Linked DNA regions of Oryza sativa Japonica Group. Each later gene encodes a partner of the first gene's protein in a complex. Links are inferred from orthologs where the notes say so. Each region holds a gene or a part of one and is shown in the gene's direction. Other genes may lie near its edges.

Region 1 (3,500 bases):
CTCAGCACAACCTAGATGGTTTTCTACTAGCAAAGGGCTTTTAGGAGCAGGGCCAAGCGGCATAATGGCTGCTGATGCTATTATTACTGAAACTGGAGCATTACATGTTGCTGGTGTTCCCCTTGTTAATCCATCTACTGTAGTGGTTTGGGAGGTGATGCCAGGCCTTGGCAATGGTATTCAGGCAACTGCAAAGATAAATGCAACAAGCTCTCTTCCTCCATCACTAAATCCCCCACTCTGGGCTGGTTTTGCTCCACTTGCATCTTACCTCTTCTCTTTGCAAGACTACCTTGTTTCCGAGGGCGCACAGACAAAAAAACAGGCACAGGTAGATAATGAGACCACTGAGGTAGCATCGATCCATTGTTGTCCAGTTTCCAACTTTTCAGCTTACGTCAGTCCTGAAGCTGCTGCCCAGTCAGCCACTACCACAACATGGGGATCTGGGGTTACCTCAGTTGCTTTTGATCCCACTCGAGGGGGATCAGTTATTACAGTTGTAATAGTTGAAGGTGCGTATATGACACCTGGGAAATGAATTAGTATGATGCAATTGTCACATCTCACTATGACTATTTGTTTCTGATGAATGGCATGAACATCAATGCCATTCATAATCACCACACTAATCCTATGATCATCCAACAGCTTTAATAGTAGGAGAGTTAATCTAACTATGTATGTCCAGAGCATGCTTATACATGTTTTAGCTCCCTTTAGTTGCTTTTGTTGTTTCTTTGATTTGCTCTGGTAGCTTGTGCCATGGTAATAAAAGTTCTTGTCTGTAAATGCTATATGCATATTCTTTTAAGGACTTTTGGGGTCTCTGAAATTTATTAAGTGAATCGGTTGATCTTAGGCTCTTGGCTAATGCTTATTTATTTTTTCTGACAATTGTTAAACCACATACTTCCAGGGCAGTACATGTCTCCTTATGATCCTGATGAAGGACCTTCCATCACTGGATGGAGAGTCCAGTGCTGGGAATCTTCAGTCCAACCTGTTGTTCTTCATCCAATATTTGGAAGCCCTGCAAACTTTGGTGGACAGCCACCTACACAGACTGTTTGGTCCACAAGAGTTAACAAAAGCATCCCACCATCTGAGGACCTTAAGAACCCTCAATCATATGTTCCAATGCCAACAACTTCAGATGAGCGGAGTTCTTCTGAGTGCAGTGTTGACAGGGCGAACCGACTTAGCTTTGACCCTTATGATCTTCCAAATGATGTCAGACAATTGGCCCAAATAGTTTATTCTGCTCATGGTGGTGAGGTTGCAGTTGCATTCCTGCGTGGAGGTGTGCACATTTTTTCAGGTCCAAACTTTGAACAGGTTGATAGCTATCATGTCAATGTTGGCTCAGCAATTGCTCCACCAGCCTTCTCCTCCAGTGGTTGTTGCTTGGCATCAGTATGGCATGACACACTCAAAGATCGAACCATACTAAAGATAATACGTGTGCTTCCTCCTGCAATTCTTAATGCTCAGACAAAGGTTAGCTCAGCTGTTTGGGAACGAGCAATAGCAGATAGGTATCCACCCAAGTTAACAGAGGTTGATTGAAATGATTTATTTGTTGAAAATGTTTTTTTTTATAACTGCGATCTTTTTAGCAGATTTTGGTGGAGTCTATTGGCTGGTGTGGATTGGTGGGATGCTGTTGGCTGCACACAAAGTGCTGCTGAAGATGGTATTGGTAAGGATGCTTATGCAGATGCAATTTAAAATTTGTGTATAGTATTTGCATTTCAATTGTGTTCTAGCTGTCCACACAATTAGAAAAGTAGGGATTATCTGCTACACGGTAGAATTTCCACAACTGTCACTCAACCTCTTAAAGTATATACTTCCTCCGTTTCATAATGTAAGTCATTCTAGCTTTTTCCACATTCATATTGATGTTAATGAATCTAGATAGATATATATGTCTAGATTCATTAACATCAATATGAATGTGGAAAATGTTAGAATGACTTACATTGTGAAACGGAGGGAGTAATTAAGAACAGTGTAACCAAGCAAATCTCTGTTTGGTTGTTTATAATGTTAAGACTTTAGAGCTGATTGCACATTTATGCTCCCAATTTGAAAGCATTGTGCATCTGCAGTATGATGAATTGTGTTTTGCTTCATTTTTCCCATTTGGATGTCTCAATATGTTAACATTATTTCCTGGTGTGAGTTGCAATACATCTTTTTAAGCTGATACAGAACTTTTCAGTAAGTTTCATCATTTTCTACATATGGTTGGTTAACTATTTCAGCACCTGTAACATTTATATTTGTCCATGATAAACTAAATCTCTTGCTTTTCCTTCCAGTCTCACTGAACAGTGTGATAGCTTTGCTGGACGCGGACTTCCATTGTCTTCCAACTATACAACAGAGGCAACAACACTGTCCTGTAAGTGTGCTGTGCTTTTAGTACATTATGTGCAGTTTTAAGCACAGGCCTTCAATTTTTCATCATCTACTGCCTACTGCCATTACTATGTGACATGCATGTCACAATATCTTTTTGGGTTCTTAAAGATTGTACATTCACCAATCACCAGTCTTTATTCCACCAGTAGTTGAAAGGGGGATACGAATCAAAATATAATCAAGATGACTTTTTTCCTTTTCTTTCCTGGACATAGTTTTTTAGTATTCTTGTGACAAGTCACTAGCACTGCTTTGCAGTTCTGAATGAACATTTTAGCATGAAGCTTGCCAAACTTTTCTATGAACATAAATTATATCTCTGGATGTATTGGTCAGAGACCATTTACGGTAGTATGTAGTTTGCTACTTTATTCATAATGCAATATATTGTAATTTGTGAGTTGGACAAGATTTGTTTTTCTAATTGTGTGTTTACCTTTTACTTCAGATTTTGAGGACTTGAAGTTGCAAGGCTATTGCTTTCTTCTGTTACTGATTAGTCTATTTTACTTATTGCAGAATCTTGATAGGATAAAGTGTAGATTGTTGGAAGGAACAAATGCTCAAGATGTCAGAGCACTTGTGTTGGACATGCAAGCAAGATTGCTTCTGGATATGCTTGGCAAGGGAATTGAGTCTGCCCTGATAAATCCATCAACTCTGCTACCTGAACCGTGGCAAGCTTCCAGTGACATGTTATCTAGCATTGGGCCTGACAAAATGACTGTTGACCCAGCTCTACTTTTAAGCATCCAGGTATACTGTGTTTCATGTTCTTTTGATTTCCTGGTCCACAGTTTCAGTTCAATTTGCTAATCTCGTTTTCCTTTTTTTGGCTATAGACTTAATATGGGCAAATGATGTTGCAAACCTTTTTGAATGATAAGCTATTTGTAAACCACAACCTATTCATGCATGAGGATGAGGCATGATATGCCACAGATTAACCATGCCATGTATGGAATTTACAGTATTTACAGCAGTATTTTGCTGTTTTTATGTTCCAAACCGACTACGATTCAAACAGCCTCCAGATAGCTTTCATCATAAGCTTTGCTCCTAGGTGTGCA
Region 2 (4,150 bases), on another chromosome or scaffold:
ACAATATTTATATAGATAGGCAACACAGCAAGTTGAGCTGTTAAAATGCACAGAAGTAAGACAATAATGAGTATCATATCATACTTTTCATTCGTTCTCCAGAATGCCCCAGCATTGTCGATAACCATCTTGAGCAACTCAAGAGACAACACCTTCCCGCGCAGCAGGACCTGATCTTCGGGATTATCCGGCGTCGAGAACTTCATGGACAGCTTGCACAGGTTCTTGAACAGTGTCAACCCATCCTCCCTGATCTTGCTCATGACAACATCCTCCTTCCCATCCGTCTCGGCCGGCTCAACCGGGGACCCCGGCTCAGGGACATCGCTTCCCTCCATCGTCTCGTTTATGAAGCTCTGCGCCGCATGGACAATGCTGGAGTCATTCAGGTTGCGGTCAGACATGTCCATCATGTCGGTGATCGACACCGTGCGCACGCGCACATCCATGGAGTCCACCTCCACGCGCGCGAACACGATCACCAGCACCTGCGCCAGCGCCAGCTTAGCGCAGAGCTGGTTGGCGCCGCTGCTGCTACTGAGGTATATGTTGTAGCAGGTCTTGAGCATCTGGCCGAGCCCTTCCCCGCGGATGGCGACGGAGGGGCACCGCGCGGCGGCCACGAGGACGCGGAGGGTGGAGAGCTCCATGGCGTCGTCGGCGAGCGCGCCGCAGGAGAGCACGGCGGCGAGCAGCTTGGAGGACGGGGAGTCGTCGTCGCCGCCGCCACCGCCGAGATCACCGACGAGGAGGCGGTGGTAGAGCAACTTGGCGACGCAGTCGAGCGCCGGGTCGGCGACCTTGGGGGACGCCGACTCGAGCGCGAGGAGGAGCGCGTGGATGCACGCGTCCGCGGCGGCCGCCGGCAACCCGAGCAGCAGCGACGGCGGCGACGGCGCCGACGCCGACGCGTACGCCGACGAGGAGAGCAGGTCGAGCGCCGCCTTGGCGGCCGCCACGAGGCCCGAGTGCTTCCGCCACGCCGCGTTCTTGATGATCCGGTCCAGCGCAGGGCCCAGCACCCGCCCCGACGGCGACGCGCCGCCGATTGCCCCCGCCGGCGAGGCCATAGTTAGCCGTCCACGCAGACTCTCACGCGCTCTACGCGGTGGTCGTCGCCGTCGCCGTCGCGGCCATTGGATCTGAGACCTCGAGACGAGGAGGAGGTGGAAGAAAATGGGAATTCGAGAGGAAGACGAGACGAGCGCGTGGGGGAGGAAGAGGAAGAGGAGAAGTCAGAGGAAGGGTATGACTGAAATTTCAGATTCTTCCAGGGGCCTAGATGCAAAAACGCCGCGACCCTTCGCGCGGGGGTGAGGCATTTTATCACTTTACCCCCCTCGGTTTCTCGGAATTCTTTCTTCTCGTCTCCATCGCTGCAGGAGGAGGAGGCGGCGGAGGACGGCGAGCGGTCAGTGGCGGAGAGGGGAGTGTTCGGGGACGCGGGGTTTGCGAGGTGGGGGGAGCTCTTGCGCCTCGGATCGGCTCACTTCCCGACGCCTCAGCCCCCGCCGCGCCGCGGATTATTGCTGTTAGGTTAAAGGTGGGGGTGAATTTTTGTTGCTGCGAGGTAGCTGTTCGACGAAATTCCGCAGCGTGGTTTCAGGGTTTGTCTCTCTTGCAGGGATTGTGGTAGCGAGAAGCGGTGGGGTTGATGGAGTGCGTGGTGCAGGGGATCATCGAGACCCAGGTTATTGTTCTTCTTTCTCACTTCGCCAGTAGACTTGTATGAGTGGTGACTGTGTGAGCGGTTGTTGAAGTGAACGGTAGTTTCTTCCGAGAATGAGTGATCTGTAGCTATGCAACGATGCATTTTTGTTCATATGAAACTGATTTGTCTGTTTATGCTGTAAAACATGACCAATTTGAACTTTTACCCGGAAAATCATACATGGCCCGTAACATAAGCCGGAGTGATGGTAGATGTGATGTTCTTCATGGATTCTTGATTTTTGTATGATGGTAGGCCTTTCTGGGAAATCGGTACTAGTCAAGTTTGCTGATCTGACATTTGCGCTCCTTACTTGTATGTTGTATCTAGAATTCTGAATTTTATTTAATTTTTGGCATAAGGTTATTTGGCCTTTCGCTTTGTAGTAACCTTATCCAAAGGAGTTGGAATGTAGAATTTCGACGTTTACTAAATGAACTTTCTATCACTTGATTTAAGATAGCATTTTTGTTGTTGGAGGTGTCAATTGCCTGAAAACAGACCTCTGTAAATGTAATTGTGATAAAACCTTTTGAAAGGTAACACTTAAGCTATCCCAGGTAGCAAATCTATCAACTGCATAGCCCCAATGTCAAATTACATCTCAATAGTCCTACTTAGGAACAAAGTTATTTTTTCACTCCATATAGCATGAAGTAGTATTGGAACTTTATGTCCATAGAGAATTTCTTTTTTCTTGAACGAAACACATCAGGGAATAGAGAATAATAATTCATGCCAGCATTAAGACTTTGTCGTCGATCCATTGTCTCTATATGACCTTTTGTTAGTCTCTTATAGCTTCCTCTTGTCAGCATATCAACACTTCCCTTCAGGATAATAAAAAAAAAGTATACAGTTGATCATGCTGACCACTATATGGTCAACCATGTTTCTCCACTCTGAGGGCACTACTTCTGCCACTTGCAGACTTTTTTTGATTCTCTTTTCAATATGTTGATATGGTTCTATTTTATATACAATTGGAGGAATCATATCACTTATATGGTTTGTAATTTTACAATAAAGGGATTAATTTATATACACATGTCAATGTCTTGTGCTTAGAACACCATTTAACCTTTTTTAGTTTTCATTGCTTTGACATCAGTGTAACTTTTGGTTGATCTTCTTGTTATGCAGCATGTTGATGCTCTTGAGGTTCTTCTCCAGGGCCTCTCTGGTGTCCCAAAAGAACGTGTCAGAGTGCATGAGCTCTGTCTTAAAAGTGGGCCAAATCTAGGTCAGTTTGCAACTTTTTCATTATTCTGATCATATGCCATTGTTACTCATATACATCTTCCAATCATACAGGAGTTGTCCCATCAGAGGTTCGTTTATTGTGTGACTTAGCTCAGTCCACGCCATCCTGGTAACTTTTCTTTCAGCTGCTAAAATTTACATTTTTGTGATATTTGATGATATTCTGAATCCAGTAGTATTCATGTAGGACCATAAGACATGTTGGAGGTGCCATGAGAGGTGCTGGTGCAGAGCAAATCTCAGTCCTTGTGCGGTCAATTGTAGAGAGCAAAGCCAGCAACAATGTATTGCGTTACTTCTACGGTATAGGGTACAAGTTAGATCATGAAGTTCTGAAGGGAGGATTTGCATTTCGTTTCCACCGAGGTGCCCAGATAACTGTGACCGTTACCTCTGTTAGCAAGATGACAAAACTCCATGCTACCAACGAAGCTGTGCCAATCACTCCTGCAATACAGCTAGTGGAAATCACGGCCCCTGCTGCTGCTGACAATTACAACGATGTCGTTTCAGCCGTCACTTCGTTCTGTGAATATCTAGCACCGTAAGTAACTAAGTGTTCCTTAGCTATCTCAAGATTATTACTAGACTGGCATAAACGAATTTTCTCACTTTTGACTGCAAAACACACTGCAGGCTTCTGCATCTCTCTAAACCAGGCAATTCGACTGGAATCGTCCCGACTGCAGGCGCTGCTGCCGCCTCACTCATGTCAAGTGGTGGTGGTGGTGGTGGTAAAACGTTGTGATCGGTCATATGTGTTGGCTGCAATGCCATGATGATCTCCATTGACCATCCCACTTAAAACATTGTTGCCATCTTTAGTTCTGTAACTTTTAGTCAGTAGCACCATGGTTTTTCTTGTAATGACATGCTAAATGCTGCCTACCTTGCTTTGGAGACTGGTAAATGAACACTGATCATTGCTTGCTTTTACTGAAGAGTGGAAACTGAATGCTGGGAAAGCTTGACGATATTGGTGGTAGACTGATAGCTGGAGTTTGTCATGATCCTGACAATATATTTGATGGTAGCTTTGTTTACTTTAATTTAGGTCACATACGTGGTAAGGATCTCATGGTTTGGGACGTTCAATTGCCCAGTAGTTTTTCTCTAGTTAATTAGTGTGCATCAAACTATTTTCTCTAGTTATTATGTAAGTCTAGCAGTCAAGTT
Region 3 (3,935 bases), on another chromosome or scaffold:
ATATCCAATAAAATGTAAGCTGTGTATCGCTAATGATTTTTCTAAAGAGATGCTGGTATTGATTAGTAGCAATACAATAACACAGCAGCTCAGTAGTTGTGAACAACAGGCCTGTGAAGTGTGAAATTGATGCTTATTTTAGTCTTTCTGAGTATGTCATAAATCAATGAAGCAAGGGAATGGAGAAGAAATGGAGTATATATGGTTATAGCGCTGCATCTGTTGATACTATTATCAAGGCAAATCTATATGCTACCTTTGAAAAAGAGAAAACAAACAAATCGCCAAATTTGTTGTATTTGGCGCATTTCTCTCAAACTTATGGTGTTACGGTGTTACCTGCAAGAATTATGATACGAATTGTTTGCGGTGCTTTTCTTTTTCATGAATAGGGGTCGGAGTTTTATTCTCCGAACCCCCTTGGTCGTCCAGGTTTTGCCAACTCGATCCGGTGGACAGTGGTTTGTCCTCATTGTTTCTTCAGGTTGTGATTGATTGCTGTGAGTTTTGAGCGGATGGTGGCATTGATTGTAAGCTAGTATGACAATCTCATCTGCAACTTGTTTCTGTGATTGGCAATGCTCTGGCACATCGATCCGCGCAAGTAGAAATTCAGTCACTCACTGTATAGTTGGTTTGCAGAGAGATTATCTGAATTTACTTGCTTGCTCAACTTCAAAAGGCCTGGAATTCAGAAGCTGGACTGAAGAATCGACATACTACTACTTATTTTGTGAAATATCCGTCGTCCCTGATACGTTGCAGATTGATCACAACTTGCGGTTGAGTTTGGAATATCATTGCCACCGGCACCAAAGAGAGTTTTGTTCCCTGAAACTTGTGATCCATGGACGAACAACAGAAGAACAGGCCTTGTTGTCTTGTAGGCATTGATAAGAAAAAGCTCTCTGATATAAGCCTTCGTTTTACCATTGCTAGGAGATAATTCCTGCTCCCGAGGGGCCTTGAGAAATGGAAAATAAAAAAAGAAACTCCGGCCCATTCGGAGTAGTGGAAGTCTGGAACTGGTCCAGGCCAGCCCAGCAACATTTACTTGTTAGGCCGGCCCAAAGTCAAAAAAGGCCCATCATACTCTCTTCCAGAGAAGAAACTCCAAAGTCCAGCACCCAAACTCGATCGAGAATTCGCTCCTCCTCACTCCGCCGCCCGACGACCTCGCCGGCGGCCGCCCCCACCCCGCCGGCCGCCGCTTCTGCTTCCCGCGGGGGGATCCCTTCCGCTCTTGAGCGGGACTCGTGAGCCCCAAGGCAGTGCCTCCTTCACTCAAAAAATTGTCTCCGATCTAATTAAGCCCTCCGCCGCCGCTGCCTCGCCTTCGCCATGGAGGAAGCCGTGCGGGTGGACCTCGACAAGCTCCCCATCAAGCGCCTCCACGCCATCGACGAGGCCGGCAACGAGCACTACCCGCCGTAAGCACCAAACCAAACCAACCTCTTCCCTTCCCCTGAAACCCTAACCCCCACCTCTCTCCGTTCACTGAGATTCGGATTCCGCAGCGACACCAGCAGCGAGGAGCAGCGCCTCTCCGCCATCCGCCGCATCGACTTCTCCTGGGTCATCGACAAGGACGCCAAGAAGCCCAAGAAGGACACCGCCCAGCAGCAGCAGCAGCAGGCATGGCCGTGGCAGGGCATGATGGAGAGCCTGCAGCAGGCGCAGCAGGAGCTCTCCGTCGTCATTGACCTCATCTCCACTGTCAGTTTTCCCACACACAATACTGCAAACCCCATTCTATTTGCATGCGATTGTTTGTATTCCTGACAGAGGAGACAATCCTACTTGATAATGCAGGTCGAAGCCAATGATGCAGTGGCAGTCGCTGGGATGCTCAAGCCCAAATCGCTGCCAACCGAAACCTTAGTTGACACCGCAGTCTCTGCAGCCACCAAGCTTCAGCGCGTTCGGGTATGTCACCCTACTGCCTATGTTTGATTACTTCAATTCACGGCTAAGGAACAAAATGGAACCTAAAACAAACTCAATTTGTTTCTGTAATCGCTTGCCACTTTCCTCTTCCGTCTTGCATCTATCATGCTTCCTGTTGTGATCTTCATTTGTGTCCTCGCAGCATTTGTCACGCTACTTCAAACAATCTGCCAAAACAATGGAGCAGCAGTTCCAAAAAGAGTCTAGGTTCTATGGCTCATTAATCAGGCATGTCTTGTTGCTTAACTTGAGTTGTTATTTCAATACCACTTCACCCAAGTTTGCACCATGAATTACTCGCGGATTGGTGGCAGATTGCAGCAGAACTGGAAAGTGAAGCGGCAACGGTTTGGTGGAAGTGGTCCAGGAAGTGAGGGCTTCATGTTTGATCTGATCGACACTTCTCAATTGGACACAGCAGCAATGCCTCGACTGTCATCATTACCATTGATTCCAATTGACCAAGACTCATCAGGCACTTTGTCCGTACAAGTCCCTCAAAAATCTTGCCGTTTCTTGAGTCTTAATTTTCGAGGGGACAGTGCCAATGGTGTGGAAAACTACGGTCATAAACTGAAAGATGGCATCTCAAGCATCACTTCCTCTGAAACAGACAATGATGATGTCAATAAATCCATCAAACATGCACATTCTATTCTTCGCAACATCCACAAGTCAATATTTGAGGAGCAGGTCAGCTAAGTGTTTGCTTGGCATGCTAAGAATTCCTGTATAGAATGCTCTTAATTAAGTTTTAACTATAGCATCATGGAAAATTATTGTATATCATGTGATGACATCTTGCACCACCACCACCCCTCCCTCCCCGGGTTTATCATTATTTATTTATGTATATCGTTCTGTGGCTTAGCTTAGTGTATGCCTTTGTAGGTATTTGATATGGTGATCCGTGAGACATTTGTCCAATCTCAAGGCATCAATGTGACTGGAATGCGTGAAGATTTTCTCCAATTAGCTATTGGTCAGGAATGTTCATTGTGCCTCTCGCTTGCTCATTCTGGAGATGGTAGTGACTCAGAAATGGTAGACCATGAAGACCATGCCAATTCAGAGGATGCCTCAAATCTTGTGTTGGTCACTATGAATGGGAAGCTGGACCCTTTAAGAAAAGACGTGACAGGGTTTCCTAATCCCAGAAGTCTGGAAATTTACTTGCTACAATTGTTTCATGAGAACATTCTTAGGAAGGTCAGGGAGAAATCCCTTAACATTGGTCGCTACCAAAGTCCTGCTCAGGTTGCAGGTGATGATTATGGCCTGCTAGGTCATTTCTGCTTGACAGTGGCTCACAGGATATTTTCTAACAAAGTACTCGTGGAGCTTGAGAGTGTGGTATAGCTCCTATAAGCTTGTTGATGCTACATATTTGCATGTAGATCATTATTTAAATTTCCTTTCTGTATTGCAGGTCAGCAGGGTTCCATATCTCCATTTGCGTTCTCTTCCTACTTGGCATTCTCGAACTTCCTCCTGGTCTCTATGCTTGAAAGTTCCTCAGCCTATCCTTGCTGCAGATCGGATTGCAAAGCCTTCTGATAACCATGAACTTAAGTACAAATCCAGGTCACAGTTCAATACTAAGGTGATCGTGAAAGATAGCCAAATTAGTCTAATGGGTGAAGGCTCCCCAAGCATTGCTGGATCATTGACTGGGAAGCCCTCCGATGGATATTTGGTAAATAGCTACAATTGTGACTTGGAGGACCTCCCAACAATGCTTCTGCAGCAGGTAAACTTCTGATGATACTATTTAAATTATTTCTTGGTAGATCATGTTTATGAAATTATTAAAGTTATTACCATTGGAATTCATTATGGTCCATTGATAATGCAATGAGCCAGACTATTTCTTGCATTGCAAATGTGTAACATAAACTCCTTGCATTTGAATGTGAAATGCACAATGGTAATGCATTTTTCTTAGTTTTTTTCCCTGAGGAAATCTTCATTTGTGCCTATTGACCTAC
Region 4 (4,040 bases), on another chromosome or scaffold:
AAATTGAGTAAACATATTCATCCACCACCACTCCTGTCTGTTCCAGTTTCCTCACTATAGAAAAAGCATCATCCAACCTGTTTCTCTTGCAGAAACCACCAATCAATGATGTATAAGTGATCAAATTCGGCTTAGCATCCCTTCGGTTCATCTCATCCAAGAATCCCATCACTTTTTCCACACTACGTTCTCTGCAAAGTCCATCAATAACAGTAGTATAACTAACTACATCAGCTGCAATGCCCTTATCTAACATCACCCGATGCTCACGGAGCCCTTTCATCAATAACCCGCTACTCATGTATCCATGAACCAAGCTGCCATATAAAACAGCATCACCAACCAACCCCTTCCCTTCCATCTCCCTTACCAATTGTGCTGCCTCAGTAGTTCTCCCTACACGGCCAAGCACATCGACAAAAGCGGTTAATGTGATCAAGCCTGGCTCAAATCCATTGAACTCTCTCCTCACCCTCCTATAGAATTCCAGCCCATCCCCAGCCTTCCCGACCTTGGAGAAGCCTGAAATGATCACGCTGCAAACACGATCATCCACCTGACACCCCGCTGCAGCCATTACGTCGAACACCTTGAGCGCGGTCTCCATGTCACCGCGGGCACACAGCATCGTCAGGGCCACACGATACGTGGACGGAGAAAACACGAGCCCGCACTCCTCTACGCCGGCGGAGAGCACCTCCAGCGCGCGGCGAGCATCGCCGCGCACCGCGCAGGCCCGGCGGAGCAGCGCGTCCCAGAGGCGGCGCGCGGAGGAGGTTGCCGGGCCGGCGAGCGCGAGGCGCGCTGCCGCGTCGCGCGGACGGGAAGAATCTAGAAGCGCCGAGGCGACCAGGAGGTGGGTGCGCGCGGTGGGGCGCACGGAGTTGGCGACCGCCTGCGAGGCGAGCGCGCCGACGAGGCGGTGCCTCCGCCGGCGGAGGAGCGCCGCCAGTAGGATGTCCACGCGGCGCGGCGTGACGGCCCTTCCGAGCTTGACCAGCGACGGGAGCGGCGGTGGTGGTCGGGGCTCGCCGCCGGCGAGCGGCATGGCGGAGGGTGGTGGTGGTGGCGCCGCCGCCGCGTGGGAAGCGAAGCGCAAACGTTCGAAACGTTGGAAGCCGATGGCGTGGGCCGAATTTGGATACGAGCTTGTTTGGATCTGGGCCTGAATAGATATGGGCTTGTATTGGTTCTGGGCCTGTTTGGATATGGGCTTATTTAGGTGAGGCGTTTCGAGTCGGAAGCGAGAAGGGGAGAAGAGGAAGATGCAGCAAGCGCAGGCGTCGGCGGTGGTGGCCGCGCCGGTGGCGGCGGCGGCGGCGGCGGCGGCGGGGGCGACGGGGCACCAGCACGAGGGGGCGAGGGGTGACGCGCCGCCGAAGCAGGTGGCGCAGGCGATGGAGCGGCTGGGGCGGGCGGGGCGGCTCATCGCGGACATCCGGCTGGGCGCGGACCGTCTGCTCGAGGCGCTCTTCGTCGCCGGCGACGCGCCCCCGCACAGCGCCCCGCAGCACGTTGAGAAGACCGCGCTCGCCGTCGCCCAGGAGGAGGCCGCCATGCACCGCCACTTCGACGACCTCCGCGCGCTCGGGAGGTAAACCCATCTCCGCCCCGTGCCCCCACACTCTCCGATTCAGAAGTTTTTCATCGATTCCTTAACCTTTGACTGTTACGTCGCAAAATACAACTAATTCCCTCCGAGAAGAACCATTCCCGTCATGATTCCACGGTTGCAGTCTCAAAATGAAAAAGGAACATTCCCGTCATGATACCACGGTTGCAGTCTCAAAATGAAAAAGAAATATTCCCGTCATGATACCACGGTTGCAGTCTCAAGAAGAAAAAGGAAAACCCTTGTCTAGATAATTTCTGGAAATTGGTGGCTGGGATATTGATTTAACTTCTTTGGATTGTATGATTGGACTTTTTTTAAAGTAATAATCTCCTTCCCAGTTTAGGCATGGCAGCACATTTTTTTTCCACTAAATTGTTCTGTAATAATGGTTAATCACCATAAACTGATGCCACACTCTTCTTTGGTGTTATCCAATTGCTTGTATCTTGTGAAACCCTTCTACCTATGAAACCTTGCTACGAGAGATGCACGGACAGGCTTAACTGCTCAACTTTGGTATATGAACTTTAGCATTCTAGAATATTGGCTGGGTGCCTGGGTCTATCAGATTGGGATGCATTTCTGGAACTCGTGTTCCTTGGCTTGTAATAGAGCAATATTTAACCTTAATTGAACAGCTTCAGCTTGAACTTGTTTTGGGGCTGTTTGGATCAGGGACTAAAATTTTAGTCCCGGTCACATCAGATGTTTAACACTAATTAGAAGTATTAAACGTAGATTAATGAAAAAATCCATTTCATAACCTTGAATTAATTCGCGAGACAAATCTATTGAGCCTAATTAATCCATGATTAGCCTATGTGATGCTACAGTACACATGTGCTAATTATGGATTAATTAGGTTTAAAAAAATTGTCTCGCGAATTAGCTCTCATTTATGCAATTAATTTTATTATTAGTCTACGTTAAATACTTCTAATTAGTATCCAAACATGCGATGTGACAGGGACTAAAATTTAGTCCCTGGATCCAAACACCACCTTAGTGCCACTCAGGGCTCGAACTAGTTTTAGTATCACTCGTGGATGGTAAGGATGTAGGGTAGGTGCTCACTCTATAATATTGTCTCAGCAGAGCAGTTATGTGTTGGGTACAATTGTTTACATGTGACCACTTGACCAGTCGTTTGTTGAAGAAGTCTGCAGGCATTTGGAAAATCCATGTTTCATGGCAACATGGTACTATTCTGTCTGATGAATAAAATGTCCAAGCAATATGAACTGCTTGTTAAACGATGGTTTTTGAGTCTTTCTGCAACCTGAAGTTGCTAGATAAACGGAAGATGAAATTTGCAGGTGATATAGTTATGATTTTAGACAGAATAGTTAGTTTGTGAAAATCCTGAAGTTAGGAGTACTAGATAAGCTTAAGCCATGTGACTGAGATTTTTTTAAGTCAAAGGATATTAGGAGCCATCTTCAATAAAGTTAGGTATGTGAACAGGATGGATTCACTCGATTTTGCTGGTGCTTTCTTATTGTTCTTTCACAGTATTCTTGTTATAGTGTTTGGGTTAGTTGTGCTTGTTGCTATTCATGATGTTTTTACTTTGTGATGAACCATCAATCATTGCTTACACAGTTCTCCTGGTAAGTTCCAATTATTTTTATTGAACTTCAAGTTTCAAGTTCCACTATTTCTTCATAAGTGTTGGCCTAGCCAACTGAAAGTAAAGATCTAGTTTTTAAACTGTAGCCTAATAAATATCTTGTATCCATTGCTGTTAGGAAGGCAATTGGAAGAGTCTGGAGTTCTAAATGGAGCCCTTAAAGCCAGAGGCAATTCATGGGGCTTGCACATGCCACTTGTTTGTCCAGATGGTGCAGTTGTGGCATATGCTTGGAAGCGTCAGCTGGCTGGTCAGGCTGGTGCATCAGCTGTTGACAGAACTAGGTAATTTCATTACCATCATTGTTGTGTTGTATGTTTGCTGCCACAATATGATGTGCTTATTTGTCTTATTTATATTCTGTTGATGTGTGAGATTTCATCAACCGTGCATTGCAGAATGCAGATTAAATATTTATACCATGTTATTTCTTCCTGCGATATACGATAATTTTCTTGGCCGATAAATTTGTACTGTTGTTTCCCTCTTTCCCCTTTAAATTTGTACTGTTGTTTCCCTCTTTCCCCTTTTTCCCTTATTTCTCCTTTTTCCCTCTTTTGTTTCTTCTTTTGCACTTTGCTTTCTCTAATCCTTCTACTATGATAATTACATTCTTCCAAGGTGTGGAGTGCTTTTGTAGGAATTGAAGTATTAGATCAGTTCTTGTTTTCGTTGCATCCATATTTTATTTTGATTTTACACAGAATGCATCGGAAATATTCCAACGCCCTTCATTCATGTGCTTCTTTAGATGTATGTACTTATGTTGAAGGCTTCAAGCCTTCGGATCATCCC
Region 5 (3,976 bases), on another chromosome or scaffold:
TCAATGCTGGGGTAACTTGCTGCTGTCCCGAAGCAAAAAACAACAATTTTCCAGTGTTGAAATCAATGTCATCCAACAATCCAAGACATGTAAAACGTTACCACTGGATGAATGATGCAAGAACAATGGTAAATGTCAGATTCAATTCAGGGTTCTCGTTCTTGTGGAGTCACTCACATTCAGATGATGCGGCTGCGACGAGGGCACACCACCCAGCTTCTGCTGCTGATACTTGCTCCCGTTCGCCTCCTGCAGGAGATCACCATTGAAGAGGCTGCGACAACCCTAGCTCCTCCTCCTCCTCAGACCATTTCCTCCATGATAGGCTCCCTCCGTGGCCGCGGCCGCCGCGTCCGCCCTCGCGCTCCTCCTCCTCCTCCTGTCCCGCTCGCCGGTAGCACGAGGAGCCGCGTCCACGTCATCACCTACCGCTCCCCCGCCGCCTCTGCGGCCGCGGCCGCGCTCCCGTGGATCGACTGGGCGCGCACGGCGTCGATGAAGGCGGCCCCGGGCTGTTGTCCTTCGCCTCCGATCCGGGCAGCGTGGGTCGGTCGCTGGCGCTGCTCGTGGAGTTCGCTCATGGTCGGCGGCGGCGAGGCCCGGCATGGTCGGGTGAGGCAAGGTGGGAAGTCACGCGGGCGGCGGGTGAGGCTCATGGTCGGCGGCGGCGGCGAGGCCCGGCATGGTCGGGTGAGGCGAGGTGGGAAGTCACATTGTCGGCGGCGGCGAGGCCTGGCATGGTCGGGTGAGGCGAGGTGGGAAGTCACGCGGGCGGCAGGTGAGGCGGGCGGCGTGGCTGGCGTGCGTTCTTTTTTTCGTTCTTTTTGGCGTGCAGTTTCTTTTTTCGGAGCAAGACGCGGTGTTAATCCGGTGCTAATTGTAACCGCAGGATTAATCCGGCGCTAATTGCAATCATGGTGTTAATTACACTAAACAACTCGTGCTTTTTATATTAGTCTAGATTAGAGTCCAAGTCCGATTCAATTAGTGTTAACTAATCGGGTGAGTTAATTGTTAGTAATAGTTTGGTTTAATCCTGGGCCGTCCGATCCATTTGTGTGTGGATCAGATCTGGACGCGTGGTGGTGATGTGATGCAATTTTCCGCGTGGGGTCCCTTGGTTCCTTCGTAATCAAGCTAGCCATGGGCCCACGTGCCAGTCAGAGAGTGGCTTGCGCACTGTCGATGTGCTGGGCCCACCAGTTTTCTTTGATGGGCCTAGATGTAATTGGGCCTTGGTGGATAGAGAGGAGGAGGAGAGAGAAGGAGAGGGAGAAGAGGAGGAGGAGGAGGTCGCCGGCGGCGAGGAGGGGGACGAGATCGCCGGAGATGGACATCATCTCGCAGCTGCAGGAGCAGCTGAACGAGATGGCGATGGTGGCGGTGAACACCTTCGGGACGCTGCAGCGGGACGCGCCGCCGGTCCGCCTCTCCAACAACTACCCGGACCCGCTCAACCCCGCCGCCGCCGCAGCAGCAAACCCTAACCCCGACGACCCCGCCCAGCCGCAGCCTGGAGCGGCGGCGGCGGCGGCGGCGGGAGCTCCGGCTGCGCAGGCACAGGCTCCGCCGGCGCAGGCCCAGCCGCCCGCGCTCGACCTCGCCGAGCATCCCAAGGCCATGAGCCACGCGCTCGTCCTCGCCGCCAAGAAGGTACGCGTCTTCCGTCGCTTATCTTCTCTGCTTGCCACCTGCTCGATGAAATGCCTGAGTGCCTGCTGGTTCTTGGGGTCTGACGCTTTAGGGCTTGGACTGTAATTTTTGGTGTGACCAGCCTTAGCATTTTTGTGTGATTGCAACCACGGTCAGGGTGCCTGGTTCTTTGAAAATTCTTCTACTTACAGAATCATATCTTCTATAGTGAGATTGTTCATGTAGTGTGGTAGAGTACTTTAGTTGCATTGTGCTGTTTTTTAGCCCTCTCGAGATAATTTTGAATGGATCTGCAAAATAGGAGCTTCACTCATATTATTCCTCGCAAAGAAGGGTTGACGATGATGTGGATCACACCAATCTTTGTACTGTTCCTCGCAAAATGTAGGTGGGATGATGGTATGCAGCACACCAACCTCTGTCTCCAGAGGGCAAACTTTGCATCTGAGAGTACACTTGAAATGTGCTACTAGCTACTGTTTCCAATACCGTTCTCTTTTTTTTTTGGTTTTTTTATGCAGTTTGATGCTCTTGTTTCTGCGTTGCCACTATCATCTGAAGAGGATCAGCTGAAAAGAATTAAAGAGCTACAGGTATGTCTCAGTTTTGCCCTCTGAGCAGTACATTGTGAAAGGGTGACATTAAGCTAGTGTCTTGTGAAGATGGTATCTTTGTGCATGTTTCCTTCTGTTTTTTTTTTCCTACGCCTTGTGGATGGAGTTTCATACTAAGGTTGTCCTCCTTAGTCGCTTGCTTTCTTCTGAATGAAGGTTTAGCAGACGCTCGGCAGCATGTCCTGCCATAGTATCAGTATTCATGATACTTGTGTCCTGCAGCTAAAATGCTTATGAATTTGAAATGCGCAGGCAGAGAATGAAGTTGTAGGCACAGAGCTTCAGAAACAACTGGAAGCTGCTGGTATGCTTTGCTATTACATTCTTGGAATATTTTGCCTTCATTATATAATTCCTCACCATGTTACAACTGATTATTTACAAGTCCAGTGTTTTACATGTCTTGTTGCTTTTGTAGAGCTGGAGCTGAAGCAAGTTGAGGCTCTTTTTAATGAAGCTACAGATCATTGTATAAACTTGAAGAAGCCAGAGTAATAGTTATCAATGTAAGTTTGGATTTCTCCCTTCACTATCTCAATAAATCTTTAGCTTTTTTTGTGCTTGCAAAAAATTATGCTTGCGCTTATGATATGGGATTATTTTGTGACCAGCTGTATAATCCGCTTGACTTCCCAAACTTGGTACACTGTATTATCAGGAAGTCAGGATACTGATAACAATTTTGTTCTTATGGTGCTTTTTGCAGTACAATATTCTACATGCACCATTTACTAGATGGCTGTTGGCATCATGTCCATGATCAATTATTGGTTTATGTAGTTTATGTACGATGATGGCCTGAACAAAACATAATTATGGTGGATGTTGACCTGTTATATTAATCCCTCGCAAGATGCTTTCATAAAACCCTCTGGGGGCTTGTCTTTCTGTTGATCAGAAAATTCCAACACAGTGTTGTTACGTATGATCGTAGTATCACTAAAATGACTTATGTTTGCTTTCCTGTCATATCAGGTAACGGAACCCATTTTGGAGTCATGAACAGATGAAGGTGGAGATGTGAATGCCAGCTGCCGATGCTACATGTAGACTCAGTTTTAGTATCAAGTTAGCTGATGCTCAACAATATTCCAGTAGTACTTGTTGGATTAGGAATTAAACCTAGCACTGTAATTTACAGTAACTTGAATAGTTTCAAGCTGGTTCGTTTAATCTGAAATAATTTGAGCATAACTTCATGTTTATTTATTATAGTTGGGCCACTGTTCGTTCACAGCAGCACAGGACCATATAGTGCTATGCAAATACAATTAAGACATGCCTAGGATTCATACTCTTTGAACTTTGAAGAACTGCACTGAAGATATGGAACAATATTATCTCGGTATAAAGCATTCCTCTCTAAAGATTACCCAAACATTGAGGCTAAACATGACTTGAATTCTAGCAACTCTGACACTGAAATATAGAACACCATATTTTCTAGGGGCACTTGGACAAACAAAACATCCCTTGAAAACTTTATTTGTCAAGCTCCAGAGATTGGCTGGCTAACTTGGAGCAAACTCTCAACTCAGGCATACTTGCAATTGCCAGAACCTGCAAAGGTTGGCAAGAAAGCCATGTAAATTTGCAGGATTCAGGTGAAAGAAACAGCAAGTGAAGCAAGCTTTGAAGAGGCTAATACTTACTGGGATCAGTGATGGTGATGAGGCCAGTGCCGTTGAAGAAGCAATTCCATGAGTTCC
Region 6 (3,982 bases), on another chromosome or scaffold:
CGCGGAGGGAGCTGAGAGCGAAAGTGTTGCCTACGTGGCATGCCACGTTGGCGGTCAAACACAGCCAAAGGACGTTTGGACCAAGGTGATACATTAAGGCTGTGTTTAGTTCAGCGCAAAGTTTGGATTTTGGTTGAAATTGGAGATGATGTGACTGAAAAGTTGTGTGTGTATAACAAGTTGATGTGATGGAAAAGGACTGAAGTTTGGATCTAAACTTTGGATCTAAACACAGCCTAAACCAAGTTCACGGACCTAAACGTGTAATTTTCAAGTTCATGAACCTAAGTAACAGCACAACACAAGTTTAGAGACCGGCCATATATTTTACTTAAAAAAAGTAACAAATAGTACCATGATCTTAGCTCCTACTGTTAGCATTGTCCTCAATTTTATGGAAAGCAACAAAACTTGAGATTTAAGATATAAGGAGTTAAATGATATGATTTCAGTGTTCACAAGCAAGAATACTCTACTATAATTTATTGTTGTTTGTAGTACATACAACGCTATGTCTGGGTTGGATTAAAACCTTATAAGGGGTAGTATGAAATTGGCCTATGCAATAGTAGAAGGAGATAACATGGGACCAAAATATTGATGTTTGGGGTTTGCTCAAAACATGAGTTTATGTTGGAGCTAATTGACAAAAAATAGAACATGTCATAAAATGAACTCTAATCATGTAATGTTTGTCATAAATTTAGTACTTCCCATTACAACTTATACGACTTCACTACTTATAATAAAATTATATTAACTATATGTAACTACATTAAAAAACCATGCTATCATAGCATCAGAAGTGTTTCTTCCAAGAAAATTCATTTTTCCCATCCCCAGTTACATGAATATTGGAGCGAATCTAACGGTTAAAAAATCAAAAAATTTCCTCGTGAAATATATAAATTAATCTACTTCATTCGTCTCAATATAAAGCAACATAACATGAAATGGAACGTATCCTATTACTATGAAGTAATTCCGGATACTAAACAAGGCTTGTTGTCTATTTCGCTCGTATCCCATGGTTTACAGGACAACACAAATTGCTCGGTTTTCTTTGGTAAGTTTTTATTGAAAAAAAATATTCAAAGCGAACCTTTTCTTTTTTTCTTTAACAAACTTTGAGCCGATTTTACCGGTTTTCGTGAAAACGGGGAAAAACCACCTCCCCCTCCCGTCCTCATCTCGCGGTCTCCCTCTCTCCAACACTCAAATTCTCCGGCGCCGCCCTACTAACTCCGACGGCCCATCTCCGCCGCCTCCGCCGCCGGCGTGAAGCCATCTCCGCCTCCTGTGAAGCCCCCCAACTCCCGCGAGCTCCTCCACGCAGCAGATCCGGCGAGCTCGGATGGACGCGGCGGCGCTAGGGGCGGCCGCCGGGGCGCCGAACCCGGCGGCGCCCGTAGGAGGGGACCAGCAGCCACGGACGGAGCGGCTCAGCGCCGGGGTGCAGCAGCAGCTGAACCTGGAGGGGATGCGGGCGCGCGCCGTGGGCCTGTACAAGGCCATCTCCCGCATCCTCGAGGACTTCGACGCCATCGCCCGCGCCAACCCCAACGCCTCCCCCAAGTGGTAGTACTTGCCTCACCTCCATTCCCCCATCCCCCGATCGCCCGCTGGACTCTGTAGAGGATTCAGCTTCCCCTTTCTAGGGTTTATGCAATGCTGATTCGTGCCGTGGTGCGTGTATGGCAGGCAGGATGTGCTTGGGCAATTCTCGATGGTGAGCATGGAGCTCTTCAATATCGTGGAGGACATCAAGAAGGTGTCCAAGGTGTTTGTGGTCTACCCCCGAAACGTTAATGCCGAAAACGCTGCCAGTATGCTTGCTGTTCCACTTCTCTTCTCTTGTGTCACCAATCGATCGCTATATCAGTAATAACCACACTAGTTAGGTAGATCCACAAGCATAAAGTTTGTGGGAAGAAGAATACATGAACATAATGTAGAATGGAATTGCTCTGCGTAGTTCAAACCTTCACAAAATATTGCCTTGGGCAGCTGTTACACGCTACCCAGCTAAGCAGACCACTTTTGATTCCATGACCTTACCAAACAGAGTCTTCTCATGTTCAATGGTGCCCAAAGCCAGATGAGAAGACAGGTCACCTGTTATGAGAACCAAGAAATATACTATGTGATTTCTGTTATGAGCAACAAGGATATATGAGATATTATGGTTATGCTGCATTTGGTAATGAGTAGTTCATATATATACATGTCATTTCTTTTACGAGTTGTTTTACACATGAAGAACCAATTGTTGACCTTTCTCACTTCCTAGCAATAGTTATTCCTTTGGTTTAAATATTGAGATTAAACTTCAGGCTGATATGGCTAATTGGCTTTAGTTAAACGAATTTTATCCTAGGGTAAATTGGTAAAGATATTCCTAATGTAGCATGGGTAGCCATTTTTGTCAACACTTTCCTATTTCTGGGATAAGTGTGATAGGAATCTAAAAATGACCTAACAAGATGCTAATTGGTCACGGTTGCTGTATATGGTTGGGATGCATCGCAATTTGTGTTCCCATGTTCATCTGCTTCTAGTTTTACCACATCGTTAGTCCTGTTTGATATTCGTGAGTACTGCAGTACTGCCTGTAATGCTGTCGTCAAAGCTGTTACCTGAGATGGAAGCTGAAGAAGCTACAAAGAGGGACAACTTGTTGTCTGGAATAACGAATCTAACAGTTTCTGGACAAATTGAAAAGTTAAAGGTGATTATTTCTGTCTGGAAAATGCAAACCTATGTAGCTTATTATACCTGCGTGATCTTTTCATTATCTGTTAATTTTAATGGGACTTGCTGCTATTCCTTTCAGACTAGGATAGATATGATTGGAAGTGCATGTGAAACAGCTGAGAAAGTAATTGCTGAAAGTCGCAAGAATTATGGTCTAGGAGCCCGTCAGGGGGCAAATCTTGGTCCTACATTGGACAAGGCACAGGCTGCAAAGATACAGGAGCAGGAAGGCCTACTTAGAGCAGCGGTAAATTATGGTGAAGGTGATAAGCATTAATGGTGTATTAATATAGCTATCAGTTTAAAAATTACTTTGAATTTAATTTTAGCATAAGCTTCTCCTTTTATGTAACAATTTCATTGTTTATAGTCCATGATGATTTAGTCTGATTATCCAGGATTGCGTGTACCGGGAGACCAAAGGCAGATGTATTCATCTCTTCCTAGCCATTTAGTGGACGTACTTCCTTTTGGAGATGGGGCACATAATTTTGGTGATAATTCTGGTCTGTTTCTGTGACATACCTACAATTCTCCATGGTTCACTCCTTGTTTTGAGCATTGGAACTATAGCATCAATGAGTTGTTCATCTGCTCTAGATGTTTTTTTATATAAAAATAATCAATAACTTGCTGCTACCCTTAGTGTTGCCATTTGTGCAGTCTGTATGTCACACAATGCTTCAACAAAAGCATATAACTAGAGTCTATACTTGCAGGTGTGTACCCCAAAAATACCTCAACATTTGTACCTAATGTTGTCAACGCCCAGGGAAATCCAATGCAGGTTTGTCTAGTGCCAGTAATAACAGCTTTGACCATTACGAAATTAATAGAATATGTCCATATTATTGCTAGTTGGGCTGAAAGCAAAAAAAGTTACAAAAGGCAGATGTTTTGTTTCCCGTGTATCAATTTGCCATATAATTTGTAATGGTATATTGGTATTCCTTTCTATGATCAACTGTATTAAGTGTTGGTTAGAATGCTTTCCCTTGAACTATTATTAAGACAATTGCATTTCATAAGAGCAATCACCAACCTGACCTCATGCAGGCCTTTGATGTTTCTATCTTGATGTTCAAATTTGGGCCTTCATTCTAATAGCAGGTGTCTGGAGGACAGTTACTTGGCAGACCTGCTCCATCACCTGGAGCTACAGGAACGCCTAATTTTGAAAATGTATCTACTCCTCCAATGCCATATGCAAACTCCCCTAGGTCAGGGA
Region 7 (4,000 bases), on another chromosome or scaffold:
GTGTAATAGGACTGTACATTTATAATTGGGACTGTATGACTGGACGTTGTATTTGTGGTGGGACGGTGTGACTTGGACAGTGCTTTGGAAATGGGATTTGTGGTATGTATAGATATTCCGAGAATGCACGAGGGCAGAATAAATGGATTGCAACATGAGACTTTGTTTGGATGGATGCACCGTATTGCCAAATAGGAGTTTAGGGTTAACGCACGATAAATGAATTTATCGGTTGTTGTAGGATTATTTTGAGAGTGTTCGTACAAACGAACGACGGTAGCGAAGAAAGGATTTTAGGGACAACGCGTAGCATACAAATCCAATCGTCGCGGTAGGAATAGAATCGGAGATAATTGAATTGACGCATGATAAATAAATACGCCGATCGATTGTAGATAGTCAAGGGAGAGTGTTGGGTTTGAATTGATGGAGTGATTTTAAATAATCGCTGGGCGAGAGTTTGAGAGAGCAACAATATCGCGATAGGACAAAAAAGTTTTGGGTCATTGATTTATTTAGCATCGAAGCACATAACAAATTAGACCGCGAAGGTAAGAGAAGGTAAGGATGGAAAAAGAAAGGTATAGGAAAGGGTGTCCTTTCTAGAGATAGGGTTTAATCAAAATCTATGGCACAAATTCTAAACACACACAAATAAACAATAAATCCTAACATGCAAACTAGGCTATACCTGAGGGAAAATTAGACGTTGTGTGAGAAGGTCATATCTTTTGAAAATAGCCTATTATGAATTATATTTTGCAAATAGGGTTTTTAATAAATACTTTACTAATATATATTATTTTGTAATTAATTTTCCGAAGGCAAATTCCTTTTCAAAGGTTCGTATAAAATAGCCATAGCTATGTTTCTTTATTAAAAGGGTATTTATTTCAATATACTACCCATAGAGGGTTTTATCCAAAACGGTAACATGTATTTATGTGTAGCTTTATTTACAAAATAATTATGCTGAAGGGGTTCTAATAGAGAAGGGTTTTTATATATAGTTGGCATTTGCAAATGTTGAAATATTTCATAAATTTATTATTATATTTTATTAGTATAAAAAAGTTAGGGTTAACGCCATGCTACCGTATGCAAGGGGAAAGGAAACGCAATCGGAGTATGCTGTAAGTACAAGGGGGCAAATGCGAAATAAATACTAGGTCGGTCCAACCCCGAGGTTTCTTCTCCTCCGAGGCGAGGCGAGACTCCGATTCTAGCCTACCTCGCTCGCTCGCTCGCTCGCTCCGTCTTGTGGTCGCCGCCGCCACGAAGACCAAACCCTCGCAAATTGCAATCGAAGAAGAAGAAGAAGAAGAGGAGCCATGGATGGCGGCGGCGGCGGCAACTGGAGGCCCACCCAGGGGGCCGACCCCGCCGCCTCTGGGGGCATCGATCCCAACGCCCCGGCCCCCGCCCTCGCCGGCGGCGACTGGCGCTCCCAGCTCCAGTCGGAGGCCCGCAACAGGATCGTCAACAAGATGTAGGGCTTTCCCCCTCTCCCCCCACCCACTTCCCTTCCCTTCCCTTCCCCCAATTTTTCTTCTCTTCATCAACTATATAAAATAAAATAGAAGATCCATACATCGCATCATCCTTTTGTGCCTGTGGTCGATTCAATATGATGCAACTCTGATCCGATCTACTCCTACGTAGCTAGTTGTAATCTCATCATAATCTCCCCTTCCGTGCCCCTGTGTTTCTGTTATTTATTTATTATTATTTACTTTGTTAGTTAGGTCCAACTCCAATCCCTCCCCAACTATTTTCAGATTCTTATTAGCTTTGACATTCTTGTCTAGTTCACCTAGTCTACATATCCAATTGAACTCAATTTACATTTCATCAGACACAGTTATTACAGTATAGAGGTTTGCTTGGAAGATGCACCCCTTCTGTTCAAATGGATCTTCCCTTTGAGGGTCAGGGAACTATGATGGCAAGGCAAACTGTTTGTTGGAGAAACCGCCTACCTCTCTCGTTTATTTTACTTCGTTATGTTAGATCATGTATGTGCCACTCTCGCTCCGCGAGTCCTTTGTAGCTGTTGTCCACTTTTGGTCATAGCCACTATATTTGAGCGCGTAACTTGGGCTATGCCTACTCATTTGTCCAACATCTTGAATGGTAGACTGACACATTATGCCTTAGGTGACATTTCTCTTTTTTTTTTTGCACAAAACATCTCAAAAGCACTCTCTCTCTCTCTCTCTCTCTCTCTCGTTCTGCATGGGATATATTCGTCATTTACTTGCTTGTTGCAATCTGCGTACAGAATGGACACTCTGAAGAAGCATCTACCAGTATCAGTGCCTGAGGGGTTGAATGAACTTCAAAAGATAGCAGTGCGATTTGAAGAGAAAATCTATACTGCAGCCACCAGCCAGGTACACTTAGCCTCTTGCTAACTCATCGGGTTGATCCAATCTTTCAGTTGTGGGGCTCAAGCATGGCATTTGGGATCTTAGTAGAAGAAATCGATCGTCCAATGTTTGCAAATATGTCTGTTGATTTTGAAGTTTGTTAGAGTTTCGCCGTGAAGTATCCACATTTTCTTTTGAACCGATTGTAATATTTCGCACTTCCACCTAAATCAGATTATCCAAGGCTGCTGAAGCTTTTCCCCTTCCATTATCGGGGGAAAATCTCCTTTGCGCCTTGGATACAGGGACTAAGACTGATTCAGTCCTATGCTAGAGGTGTTGATGTCCCCACATTATTTTCATTGATAACATATCTCAATAGTAAATTAGTATTAATGAATTATAGAACTAAACAATATTTTTACCATGAGACTGGTTTCTCTCATTGGCCATGTTAAAAGTACAGGAGTTGTACCTTGAGTTCTGTAAGCCCATCATTCCATCTGTTCATGCTTGTATAAATCACCTGTAAAATATTCCCTTTATCCCAGATGAAACATCAAACAATGGTTTACTCCAGTCCTTCCTTTTGTGTTAGCGAGTATGTCATCATATATCCCACTTCATTTTGGTAAACATTTTTGTAGGAGCTTCTTTGGCTGGGTATAGGGATTCATAATCTCCAAATTCCAATTGTGTTCTCCTGTTCATACTTCATCAGGCTTATTCATGCCAAAGTAGTTTGCTGTATAGATAAGAATTTGTATAATTTAATTGATTGTATAAAAAAACGAAGCATATGTTTCAATTGTGCTAACCACCAGGACTTAGGGTGGCAAGTTATTTATTACAAAGCCAAATCTTACCATTGTATTCTTTTGTATCACCAGTCTGATTACTTGCGGAAGATTTCTCTAAAAATGCTCTCTATGGAGACAAAGACTCAACAGAATCCTGGAAACGCCCAAGTGATTCAAAACCAAAATCCCCCTGGCTCAGGTATCATATGAAGTATATTCAATATCCGATTCTGAAATACTGGAGTAATAGTAAGATATTCGCTGGTACCATATTTTGTTCACCGTAAAAGTCCTTGTATATATTTTTCATGATGTAACTATATTGCATGTGTGTTTACAAGCCCCATTTCTGAGAGGAAACCATCCAATGGAAGCTCTGCCACACTGGGTACAACAGTGCTCTCTCGTTTTAGCTTGTATCGGATAATGCTCAAGCAAGTAAATTAAGGCGAGATGCCTGTCAGTCGAAACCTCCAAACTTGTTGATTACTCGAACCTAATTAAGTAATTGCTAATCTTGATAGCAAACACACCATTTGGATGCTGGCCACGAATCCTTGCATGGTCATATTCAAAGCTTTTGGGCACCAACATCAAAACAGACGACCCCTTCAATCTGCTTGTTCTAGTAGAGGCTAGATCAGCCATGGCTTCCAAAGTAGAAAAGCAAAGCAAGGCTCACACCATCACGTCTGCTGCCAGCAGCCCAAAGACCAAAGATACACATAGCTTTCTAGCACTCATTCTCTCTCTTTTTAATCAAAGATTAGTATCATAGTCTAGCCCATTGGCAATACACAATCACTTCATCGATATAACCTCTCGCACTGG

What was found.
Region 2: mediator of RNA polymerase II transcription subunit 16 (region 1) and mediator of RNA polymerase II transcription subunit 18 share a complex: the UniProt entries of both Arabidopsis thaliana proteins name them as parts of the mediator complex. The link is inferred for Oryza sativa Japonica Group from reciprocal best matches to the Arabidopsis thaliana genes SFR6 and AT2G22370.
Region 3: mediator of RNA polymerase II transcription subunit 16 (region 1) and mediator of RNA polymerase II transcription subunit 17 share a complex: the UniProt entries of both Arabidopsis thaliana proteins name them as parts of the mediator complex. The link is inferred for Oryza sativa Japonica Group from reciprocal best matches to the Arabidopsis thaliana genes SFR6 and AT5G20170.
Region 4: mediator of RNA polymerase II transcription subunit 16 (region 1) and mediator of RNA polymerase II transcription subunit 27 share a complex: the UniProt entries of both Arabidopsis thaliana proteins name them as parts of the mediator complex. The link is inferred for Oryza sativa Japonica Group from reciprocal best matches to the Arabidopsis thaliana genes SFR6 and AT3G09180.
Region 5: mediator of RNA polymerase II transcription subunit 16 (region 1) and mediator of RNA polymerase II transcription subunit 21 share a complex: the UniProt entries of both Arabidopsis thaliana proteins name them as parts of the mediator complex. The link is inferred for Oryza sativa Japonica Group from reciprocal best matches to the Arabidopsis thaliana genes SFR6 and MED21.
Region 6: mediator of RNA polymerase II transcription subunit 16 (region 1) and mediator of RNA polymerase II transcription subunit 8 share a complex: the UniProt entries of both Arabidopsis thaliana proteins name them as parts of the mediator complex. The link is inferred for Oryza sativa Japonica Group from reciprocal best matches to the Arabidopsis thaliana genes SFR6 and MED8.
Region 7: mediator of RNA polymerase II transcription subunit 16 (region 1) and mediator of RNA polymerase II transcription subunit 15a share a complex: the UniProt entries of both Arabidopsis thaliana proteins name them as parts of the mediator complex. The link is inferred for Oryza sativa Japonica Group from reciprocal best matches to the Arabidopsis thaliana genes SFR6 and NRB4.

The regions. Positions count from the first base shown.
Region 1 is NC_089044.1:19,711,486-19,714,985, forward strand, and holds part of mediator of RNA polymerase II transcription subunit 16, read left to right. Parts: coding exon 1-515; intron 516-919; coding exon 920-1,538; intron 1,539-1,622; coding exon 1,623-1,702; intron 1,703-2,327; coding exon 2,328-2,410; intron 2,411-2,949; coding exon 2,950-3,186; intron 3,187-3,500. UniProt on the Arabidopsis thaliana protein: Component of the Mediator complex, a coactivator involved in the regulated transcription of nearly all RNA polymerase II-dependent genes.
Region 2 is NC_089036.1:5,238,011-5,242,160, forward strand, and holds mediator of RNA polymerase II transcription subunit 18, read left to right. Parts: upstream 1-1,350; 5' UTR 1,351-1,543; intron 1,544-1,624; 5' UTR 1,625-1,654; coding exon 1,655-1,690; intron 1,691-2,854; coding exon 2,855-2,954; intron 2,955-3,025; coding exon 3,026-3,083; intron 3,084-3,161; coding exon 3,162-3,518; intron 3,519-3,610; coding exon 3,611-3,722; 3' UTR 3,723-3,910; downstream 3,911-4,150. Other genes in the region: brefeldin A-inhibited guanine nucleotide-exchange protein 1, read right to left, coding at 85-1,070. UniProt on the Arabidopsis thaliana protein: Component of the Mediator complex, a coactivator involved in the regulated transcription of nearly all RNA polymerase II-dependent genes.
Region 3 is NC_089046.1:28,096,091-28,100,025, forward strand, and holds the start of mediator of RNA polymerase II transcription subunit 17, read left to right. Parts: upstream 1-1,135; 5' UTR 1,136-1,341; coding exon 1,342-1,430; intron 1,431-1,517; coding exon 1,518-1,716; intron 1,717-1,812; coding exon 1,813-1,926; intron 1,927-2,089; coding exon 2,090-2,175; intron 2,176-2,261; coding exon 2,262-2,640; intron 2,641-2,838; coding exon 2,839-3,300; intron 3,301-3,376; coding exon 3,377-3,697; intron 3,698-3,935. UniProt on the Arabidopsis thaliana protein: Component of the Mediator complex, a coactivator involved in the regulated transcription of nearly all RNA polymerase II-dependent genes.
Region 4 is NC_089035.1:8,936,712-8,940,751, forward strand, and holds the start of mediator of RNA polymerase II transcription subunit 27, read left to right. Parts: upstream 1-1,240; 5' UTR 1,241-1,265; coding exon 1,266-1,594; intron 1,595-3,367; coding exon 3,368-3,529; intron 3,530-4,040. Other genes in the region: pentatricopeptide repeat-containing protein At5g57250, mitochondrial, read right to left, coding at 1-1,048. UniProt on the Arabidopsis thaliana protein: Component of the Mediator complex, a coactivator involved in the regulated transcription of nearly all RNA polymerase II-dependent genes.
Region 5 is NC_089042.1:2,025,008-2,028,983, reverse strand, and holds mediator of RNA polymerase II transcription subunit 21, read left to right. Parts: upstream 1-1,214; 5' UTR 1,215-1,329; coding exon 1,330-1,653; intron 1,654-1,954; exon of another isoform or gene 1,955-2,037; intron 2,038-2,174; coding exon 2,175-2,246; intron 2,247-2,519; coding exon 2,520-2,571; intron 2,572-2,685; coding exon 2,686-2,762; 3' UTR 2,763-2,773; intron 2,774-3,242; 3' UTR 3,243-3,476; downstream 3,477-3,976. Other genes in the region: major pollen allergen Ole e 10, read right to left, coding at 3,802-3,827, 3,920-3,976. UniProt on the Arabidopsis thaliana protein: Component of the Mediator complex, a coactivator involved in the regulated transcription of nearly all RNA polymerase II-dependent genes.
Region 6 is NC_089037.1:18,123,892-18,127,873, forward strand, and holds the start of mediator of RNA polymerase II transcription subunit 8, read left to right. Parts: upstream 1-1,182; 5' UTR 1,183-1,354; coding exon 1,355-1,578; intron 1,579-1,701; coding exon 1,702-1,826; intron 1,827-2,603; coding exon 2,604-2,728; intron 2,729-2,833; coding exon 2,834-3,017; intron 3,018-3,152; coding exon 3,153-3,260; intron 3,261-3,473; coding exon 3,474-3,541; intron 3,542-3,861; coding exon 3,862-3,982. UniProt on the Arabidopsis thaliana protein: Component of the Mediator complex, a coactivator involved in the regulated transcription of nearly all RNA polymerase II-dependent genes.
Region 7 is NC_089042.1:28,450,880-28,454,879, reverse strand, and holds the start of mediator of RNA polymerase II transcription subunit 15a, read left to right. Parts: upstream 1-1,200; 5' UTR 1,201-1,331; coding exon 1,332-1,489; intron 1,490-2,281; coding exon 2,282-2,393; intron 2,394-3,259; coding exon 3,260-3,368; intron 3,369-4,000. UniProt on the Arabidopsis thaliana protein: Component of the Mediator complex, a coactivator involved in the regulated transcription of nearly all RNA polymerase II-dependent genes.